Oryzias latipes: one gene and its partner. The protein of the gene in region 1 purifies or fractionates together with the protein of each later gene. This does not show direct contact. Links are inferred from orthologs where the notes say so. Each region holds a gene or a part of one and is shown on either strand. Other genes may lie near its edges.

What was found. Proteins that work in one complex are often made in the same cells at the same time.
Region 2: the proteins of usp10 (region 1) and sirt6 purify together in Homo sapiens (affinity purification with western blotting; 4 studies listed by BioGRID, with this or other methods). This does not show direct contact. The link is inferred for Oryzias latipes from reciprocal best matches to the Homo sapiens genes USP10 and SIRT6.

The regions. Positions count from the first base shown.
Region 1 is NC_019861.2:21,045,633-21,049,284, reverse strand, and holds part of usp10 (ubiquitin carboxyl-terminal hydrolase 10), read left to right. Parts: intron 1-193; coding exon 194-253; intron 254-1,273; coding exon 1,274-2,497; intron 2,498-3,523; coding exon 3,524-3,615; intron 3,616-3,652. UniProt on the Homo sapiens protein: Hydrolase that can remove conjugated ubiquitin from target proteins such as p53/TP53, RPS2/us5, RPS3/us3, RPS10/eS10, BECN1, SNX3 and CFTR.
Region 2 is NC_019875.2:22,338,259-22,342,367, forward strand, and holds the start of sirt6 (NAD-dependent protein deacetylase sirtuin-6), read left to right. Parts: upstream 1-1,162; 5' UTR 1,163-1,275; coding exon 1,276-1,341; intron 1,342-1,843; coding exon 1,844-1,971; intron 1,972-4,109. UniProt on the Homo sapiens protein: NAD-dependent protein deacetylase, deacylase and mono-ADP-ribosyltransferase that plays an essential role in DNA damage repair, telomere maintenance, metabolic homeostasis, inflammation, tumorigenesis and aging.

The DNA.
Region 1 (3,652 bases):
TCTTTTGTCCTTCTTGTTCAGCCACCATCTTAATCTGGTAGACTAGACCAGAGAAGCCTTTAAGATTTGTGACCATTCCAGGAAATATATCTATTCATATTGGGTTAACAAATGTCTTAACAGCCACCTGTGTTTTAGTGGAATTGATTTTCAGATAACATTTGCCTTTCCTTGATTTGTATTGATTATTTAGGAAGTTACTGCACTCCTGCTGTACCTTATATAATGGAGTCAATGGGACTGCAGGTTTGCGGTGAGTTCAGGGGTCTGACACCTTGTGGCTTGACTAGCTGATGTACATTGTCTTTACAACTAAAAATCCAAGTTTCCAAAGCTGGTGGCTTTCAAATCTATGCATCTTTACTCTTCTTCCTGCCTGTTGTTCAAAAATCTGCAGAGCTTTGCATGCTCAAAACACTTTATCCTTTTGCATTTAAGGCATTTTTCTCATCTAGAGGATTTATATTGAAATAAAATAAACAAACTTCATAGTTTTAGCACATTTGCTAGGGGCATAGAATTGTTTTTTGTGGTTGCTAACATGCATTGTTGAATGAAATTAATTGTAATATAATGCAATGTCAGTAACACTAACAGACTATCCTCTAAATCTATTATAAAGAAGTAACCACAACGCCCTCTTAACTCCTGCAGAATATCAGTGTTTGCAGTATTAATTGGTTAAAGCATCAGTTGAAATCAGTTGAACGACATCTTTGATTCCTACTTACTAATGTTTTCTGTTTATTCACTCTTGCACCTCTTGCTGCATAATGCATACTTAGCGGCTGTGCAATACATTTTAACCAAACATGGAGTACTTTTACTTGTGTCATTTTGTTTTCAAATATTGATGAAACATAAAAAGGATTTTGGTTATTTTGAGGGGAAAAAAGCTTTTCTGAAGTATCAATTAAATTAATAATTCATAGATCTGCAGCAAAGATTACATTTGACCTTTTTAGCACAGAAATGAGACAATGTGGTCAATTAAAAAAAAATGTTGGAATTAAATTGGCAAATTGCTGAATATTTTCTGGCTGTTAAAGTATATTGTATTACTTATTTCTCAAATCTTAATGTTAAGGTTTGTTTAAAGTCACAAAGAAATGTGCCACAAAGTTTGCATTTTACGATGCAAAGATTTCCATTGCTCTGAGAGTTTAAAATTATCTGTATTTTTTCTATCTATACATAAAGATTTCTAATTTTAAGTCTTAGACTACATTTAAGATTGCTATATCTTTTTAACTGACTGAAGTATTTTTTGCAGCAGAGGACTATCAACGCATTGAGTTTGGTGTTGACGAGGTAATGGACTCCAAGCCAATTGGGGTGAACGATCCTTTGTACAAGGTTTCGAGTACTCTCAACCCCCAGGCTCCGGAGTTCATCTTGGGCTGTCAGTCAGTTCAGAAGGCGCCGCAGACGACACTTCCAGCACCGGATGTTCCTGATGGAAGCCATTTCAACTCCCTGGATGGGCCAGATTTTGAAGCCTCGGCTTTGGACAATCACCAAGTGTGCCAAGACATGGATGCACCTGGAAGCCTGGGTCAGAGAGAGCGAAAGAAAAAGAAAAAACGTCCACCAGGATATTACAACTACCTGGACCCATTAGGAGGGGGAAACGGCAGCGGCTCCATTGTGGCCGATGGACAGTCAGTGACAACACTTGTGAATGGGCATGTACTTGGAGGCCCTCACAACAGTACTGAGGATGTAGACAGTAAGGCATTTTTAGGGGATGAACTTTCCACTCCTGGACCTGTCTCCTTGGTAACATCTACAAATGTTGTGTTTGCCCCCACAACCACTGCTAATCAGAGGACTTGTGATAGCCCAGATGACTCTTCTTTGGACTTAACAAGTGCCACTGCCTCTTTATCAGATGGTAACAATGCAACTTCCTCCTCTTCATCCTCCTCTCAAAGTAGAGGGATGACAGAGGGACCAAGGACTGCAGATCAGCAGCAAGATCATTTGGCTTTTGAGAGCCCCGAACTTTTAGTCTCCCCACACAGTCCCCGCTCCAAATCGCCTCTTCCTCCTTCAGAATCTGTGGCTGCTCCCTCTGATATCACTTCCATTACGACTACTGAACTAGAGAGGAGAGAGGAAGCAGACAGTGGGGTTACCAATGGACTAGAACAAACTAGTACGCCTGTTAGCACAGGTGGACTCAAAGAAGACTGTGAAATTGTGGAGCAGAGTCAGCATCTAGCTCCAGACTCTAATGCTCAGCCTGTAGTGTCAGAGCAGGCACAATTACCTGCAGTTTCAGCTGCACCCACTGCCAATCTTCCCAAATCTTGGGCAAGCCTATTTCACAACTCAAAGCCTCTTCCTGGGGGCCCTCCGGCCTTTGTAGAGGTAAAACATGTTGTGGATGTTGTGTCTCCCTCCCCTGCTGTTCCAGAAGAACCTGAACAGGTTGAGGAGGTTAAAGAAGGTCCAATACATGTATCAGAGGACCCATTTGCTCCTAAACTTGCAGGTACTATATAGTTGTGGTTCATCTTTGTTGCATTATTGTTGTTCATCTTAGGTTTTAAACTTTAGTACAATTTCTACTCATTTTATTAGTAATGCTTTGGATTTTAATCATTAAGGTAATAACATTAAAATTAATGTTAGGAGGTGAAACAGCGGGGCTCATCTTCTGAGAAGTAGGTATTTTCATATTACATCAAGCTAGAAAAACATTTCAATTATTTTTAGGCTTTGCTCTCGCTGGCCTTCAACAAAATGTAGACATGAAAAGGTGGCCACTAGATGGCAGTCATGCACTATTATTTTAATGACATTTCCAGTTGTGGCTGGGTTTCTGAAAGCTATCGTATTGTTAATTGCATATATTTAACATATTTTTTTTTAAAAGATAACCCATTTTTAGAATTGCCATGTGTCAAGACCGAGGATGTGTTCAAAAATACAAAGCTGGACATGAAGCAAGGCTTGTTATGGCATAGTTTGAAATGTTTGTCACAAACACACACACATTTTCTGCCTTGTAACCAGGGTCAACATGAATTAGTTTAACAAAGCCTCCGAAGGTGGTATTGAGTTCTAATTTTCAACATTTTCTTTGACATCTCCTATTCAGCTTTATAAATAGTCACCAATAGTGAAAAGCCAATAAATGTATAGTGATATTTGCCTAATTAAGATAGTCAATAGTTTATATTTTAAAAATGTTCTTCAGTGATCACCTTTCACAGCTCAGATATTTATACACATTTTAAAAGTAGACTCTCCCTATTTCTTTCTGTTATTGTAACTTGGCTGAGACAATCCACGTTACCATGGGAACTGTTCCTGAGTTACAGTATCCCTTCCTAGGCGTGGTACAAAAAAAATCTTTGGCTCTTTTTTAGTCTCTGGTGGTTTTGCACCTAAGGCGAGAAGAGAAAAAGGAACATTTCTGACTATTCAAAAACTTTACAAAGCAGGTGTTGTGTTATGACTTCAAGTATGTGCGGAGCAACCTATTGACAAACACTGTATTTGTTTGAATCCTCAGAAATTATTGAGAATGTGAAGTTGATGCATAAACCAGTGTCTTTGCAGCCAAGAGGTCTGATCAACAAAGGAAACTGGTGCTATATCAACGCTGTATCCTTTGACTGATGTTTATTTTTGCTTTTTTCTC
Region 2 (4,109 bases), on another chromosome or scaffold:
TTTTTTTTTTTTTTAAACAACCTCGAATTAAGGGGAGATTGAAAAGTGTTTGAGTTGGTGGGGGATTTGAAATGTTTTTGAGCTCTCGAAGTGTGGGGCCGTTTTTGAAAAAGCAACAATTGTTTTGTTAACTAATCATACTTGGAGTAAAGGTTTGAATCGTAGTCAAAATACTTGATTGCTATTTTAAAGACATCCAGTTGTAAACACAGTATCACTCCGAAACACCTGATGGACCCAAAGAGCTAAAGCAGCATTATAAAGACTCCAAAACCTATGAAAAATGATGTAGTTCTGTTGGTTTGGTTGAAATTCATTATAATTTATTTTTCTTTTAAATTCCTTCATAGTTTACCTGAATGGTGTCACCTGTGAGATTATTAGGTAAAATCATGCACGTAGTCTGATTCTAGATTCTTGACGTTTTTCTGCGCCGCAAATGAAAATGTTAAGAAATAATGATCCTCTTTATTTTAATTTTCTTCTCTGTTTTGTTGGGTGATTCTGGACGGGTGTTGGTGTTTTTCTGAGAGTATGGATGGTGTTTTTTGATTTAGTTTTTTTCCAATCTGCAGTATTGATAACTTTAATGTCTGAAGTAAGTTTAGTAAATAAATTAAATTTCTCAGGATAAAAATTCATTTGAAACAACTGTTGAGGCAAGCAATTAATTTCCAATATGCAGATGTAGCTGTATGAATGATTAAAGTGTTTTATTCACATGTCTCTTTTTTCCCCCCCAGCTATTTAAAATAAAGATTTATTTCAAAGAAACATTCATTGAAGTGCTTGGAATGACTGCACATAACGGAAATCCAATTTTTTGTTGTGCTTTGTTATTTTAAGGAAGTCATTTAAAGTGTTCCAGCTGAAGACAACAGCATTTAGTTTGCTCATGCTATTTAACTTTTGATAATACCTTAAAATTCAATTATAAAGAGTAACTTGAACATGTGTGTTCAAGAGGTTGGAGGGAAATAGGAATTTTGAACTACCAAACATGTCAGTCTTTATCTTTTATTTATTACTTTTTTATTATTTATGTAGATGTAAGAATGCAAAACTCAAACTTATTCATATTCTAAAATAAACTATTTTAAGTCTGTGTCTGTATGGTGTGAATCGTATCAATGATGTTCCCTATGGTTTCTGAATGCATCACATGCCGGCGCACATTGATGTCGTCATCCAAACGCCGCAGTTCAAACCTAAAACTCGGGTTTGGGACTGTTTTTCAAACAGAAAATAACAACAAAGACAACAGTTACCAGAGTCATGTCAGTAAATTATGCTGCCGGATTGTCACCTTACGCAGATAAGGGGGTCTGCGGCCTTCCTGAGGTAAATTTTGACTACATTAAAGAGCTTTTCATGCTAAATGAGCTAGCAGCTCATCATGAGCGATGTTTTTGTCCTGCTGTTGTGATCCTTCTGCTCTTTTATCTAACAAAACACTTGCTAAGGACCAGCCCCTTGTTTGAAAATCTCTCTTTACATTTTTTTTATTCGTTCTAGTGAGTTTAAATTCCAGCTCTGGTTTAACAAGATAATAAATTATATTGTTTCAAATATAGTTATTCTTGTTGGGATGTTGTATCATATATATCCACAAAATTTGATGGGTGCAAAGTTGTTGTTTTCCTTCATAATAGATTTAAAGCAGCCTTTTACTAATCTGTACTAACGTTCAGCTATGGCTTTGTCCGCCGAACGTGTCACATAAATAGATAAAAGCGTGAAGCTATTCATGAATTCATATCTCGGGACCAACAATCTTAGCAACACATGCATGGATGATTGCTTGTGCTCATTCCTAAAAGGACTTGTTTGTGTCTTCTGGCAGAAGTTTGACAGTCCTGAAGAGCTGAAGGAGAAGGTGCAGACTCTTGCTGAGTTGGTTAAAGAATCTCAGTACCTGGTCGTCCACACTGGAGCTGGCATCAGCACCTCAGCCGGCATCCCTGACTTCAGGTGAGACACGATTCTAATGATAATTCTGTTTTTGTACGCCACATTTGGCTGCTAATGCCAACATCAGACAAAGGCAAACATAGGATATGTATTTTATATGACAGGAAGCGCATCTGTTAATCAGAATAATATTGATTCTTTTGCACACAAACAAATCTATCTAAATATCTATATTTTTCTTTGGGAGCATGTCCAACTATTTTACTTGTTTGATCCTAAAATTCCCTAAAAAGTTACATAAACTACATTAAAAAAAAAACTCTAAACATTCATTAAATGAGCCTATTAAAATCATAGTTAAAACATTTTTTAAACTAATTTCTCCACCGAATCGTACATGATGTGTACATAAAAAAAGGTTGATGTTATCCACACACGATTATGTGACAAGCACAAAAAGTTATGGAAATTTATGTTGGCCACACGTAATGCTTGCAGCCAAGATACATAATGGTGCCTTTTAACCCTTGTGCTATCCTAGGCACTTTGACATTGGGAGTTGGGTCATCTAGAGTCTAGACCCACTAGACAGTGCGCTGAACCTTTTTTTCTTCAATGATTTGTGGTCTTCTCCGGTGTCCATGGATTACATGAAATCTTTCCACTTTTATTCACCTTTGTCACGGTAGGGATAACATGTCAATGGTCATCTTGACCCCGTAGGATAGCACAAGGGTTAAGTGCGTCCAAGGTTGCATTTTGTTGTTGGCCCCAGGTGTTTAAAATGAAACTTAAAGTTACAGTCCCATTATCTGTCATGCACCTAGGTGTGTAAAATATGTTCTCTGCCTTTGATCCATCTCCTGGAGGAGCGGTGAGGTGCAAAAACAGCCGCGCTCAGGAGCTATTTGGTGGTTTAACCCAACCCACAACTGTAATCCTAACCTTAACCCCTGTTCTAGGTCTGTGTGGCCAAGAAAAAAAGCCCAGGGCTGGCCGCACTTATTTCGAAAATGACGTGCAAATAGACCCTTTCCAAAATATACACATATAACTGAAGACAGGCTGGAATAGATCAATATTCATGATTAATCTTAACAGACAAACTAGAATGTTAGTAAATAAAAAAACATAAATGAAATTAACATGACACCATTTTTTATTTCCATTTTAGATGACAACAACAACAGCTATGACCATAGTTCCACTGTAACTATTTGATTCGTATCCTAATTTGTGGTTGCTGATTTGATTCATAGTTGATATAGGTTCATTTTAAATAGTCCGATTCACTGACCTAAAATCGATCTTAAGCCAAAAATTCAACCAGTGAGACTCAGAGATAAATACCTGGTACTGAACAGTGCAGGTGAAGTTTTCCAGATTCCTTGTATTTCTTGCAAGATAATCAAGTGTAAATTAAATATGTGTGCAAACAAAGTTCAGCCCACTGTTGTTTATCTACATCAAAATAATACAAACAGAACATTACTAGAACATTCTACTGTATAGTCACATGACATGGCAAAACTCAAAGTGTTTCCATGCATTGAACTGGAATGATGCACTGATCGGTTTTTGCTGCCATCACATGTGTGTTGTCCATGGTGATTACACTTGATCACTTTTTACGGTATAGTAAAATAAACTCACATTTGCCTCAATCCAAATGGTATTTTCCAATATCAAACTAATTGATTTATTTCATTTAATTTATTTCATTCTTAAATCTAATATTAGGATAAGTAGCAATATTAAAAACATGAACAAAAAAGATACTTTTGTTATTGAAATAGGATGTTTGTCTTTGGGAACCCCTGTCCTAAAAGGTCCAACACACACGACTCAACTCATCAGCTCTAAAAACAAATGGTAATGACTCTTATTTCATTTATTCAGGCATGATAAACAAGTGGAATAAAAAGGAAAACTCAATGCATTTTTAGGGCTCAACGTGGGAAGAAACTTTAATCAACTAACTTTGCTCTTTTGTTAACTATTGTAAGACACTTAAAACAATGCAAATATTAAAATAGTCAGAGTTTTTTTTTTCTATTACTGGTACTCTTGTTATTTTTGTTGTTGTAGAAGTTGTAATGAGGAACTAAATTGTTCTGGGAGGCAAGCCAATGCATTTGTGGGCCATCCCAAGACCGAGGCGGGGGAAGAAATGGCTTTTCCAGTAAAATCTAGAAAAA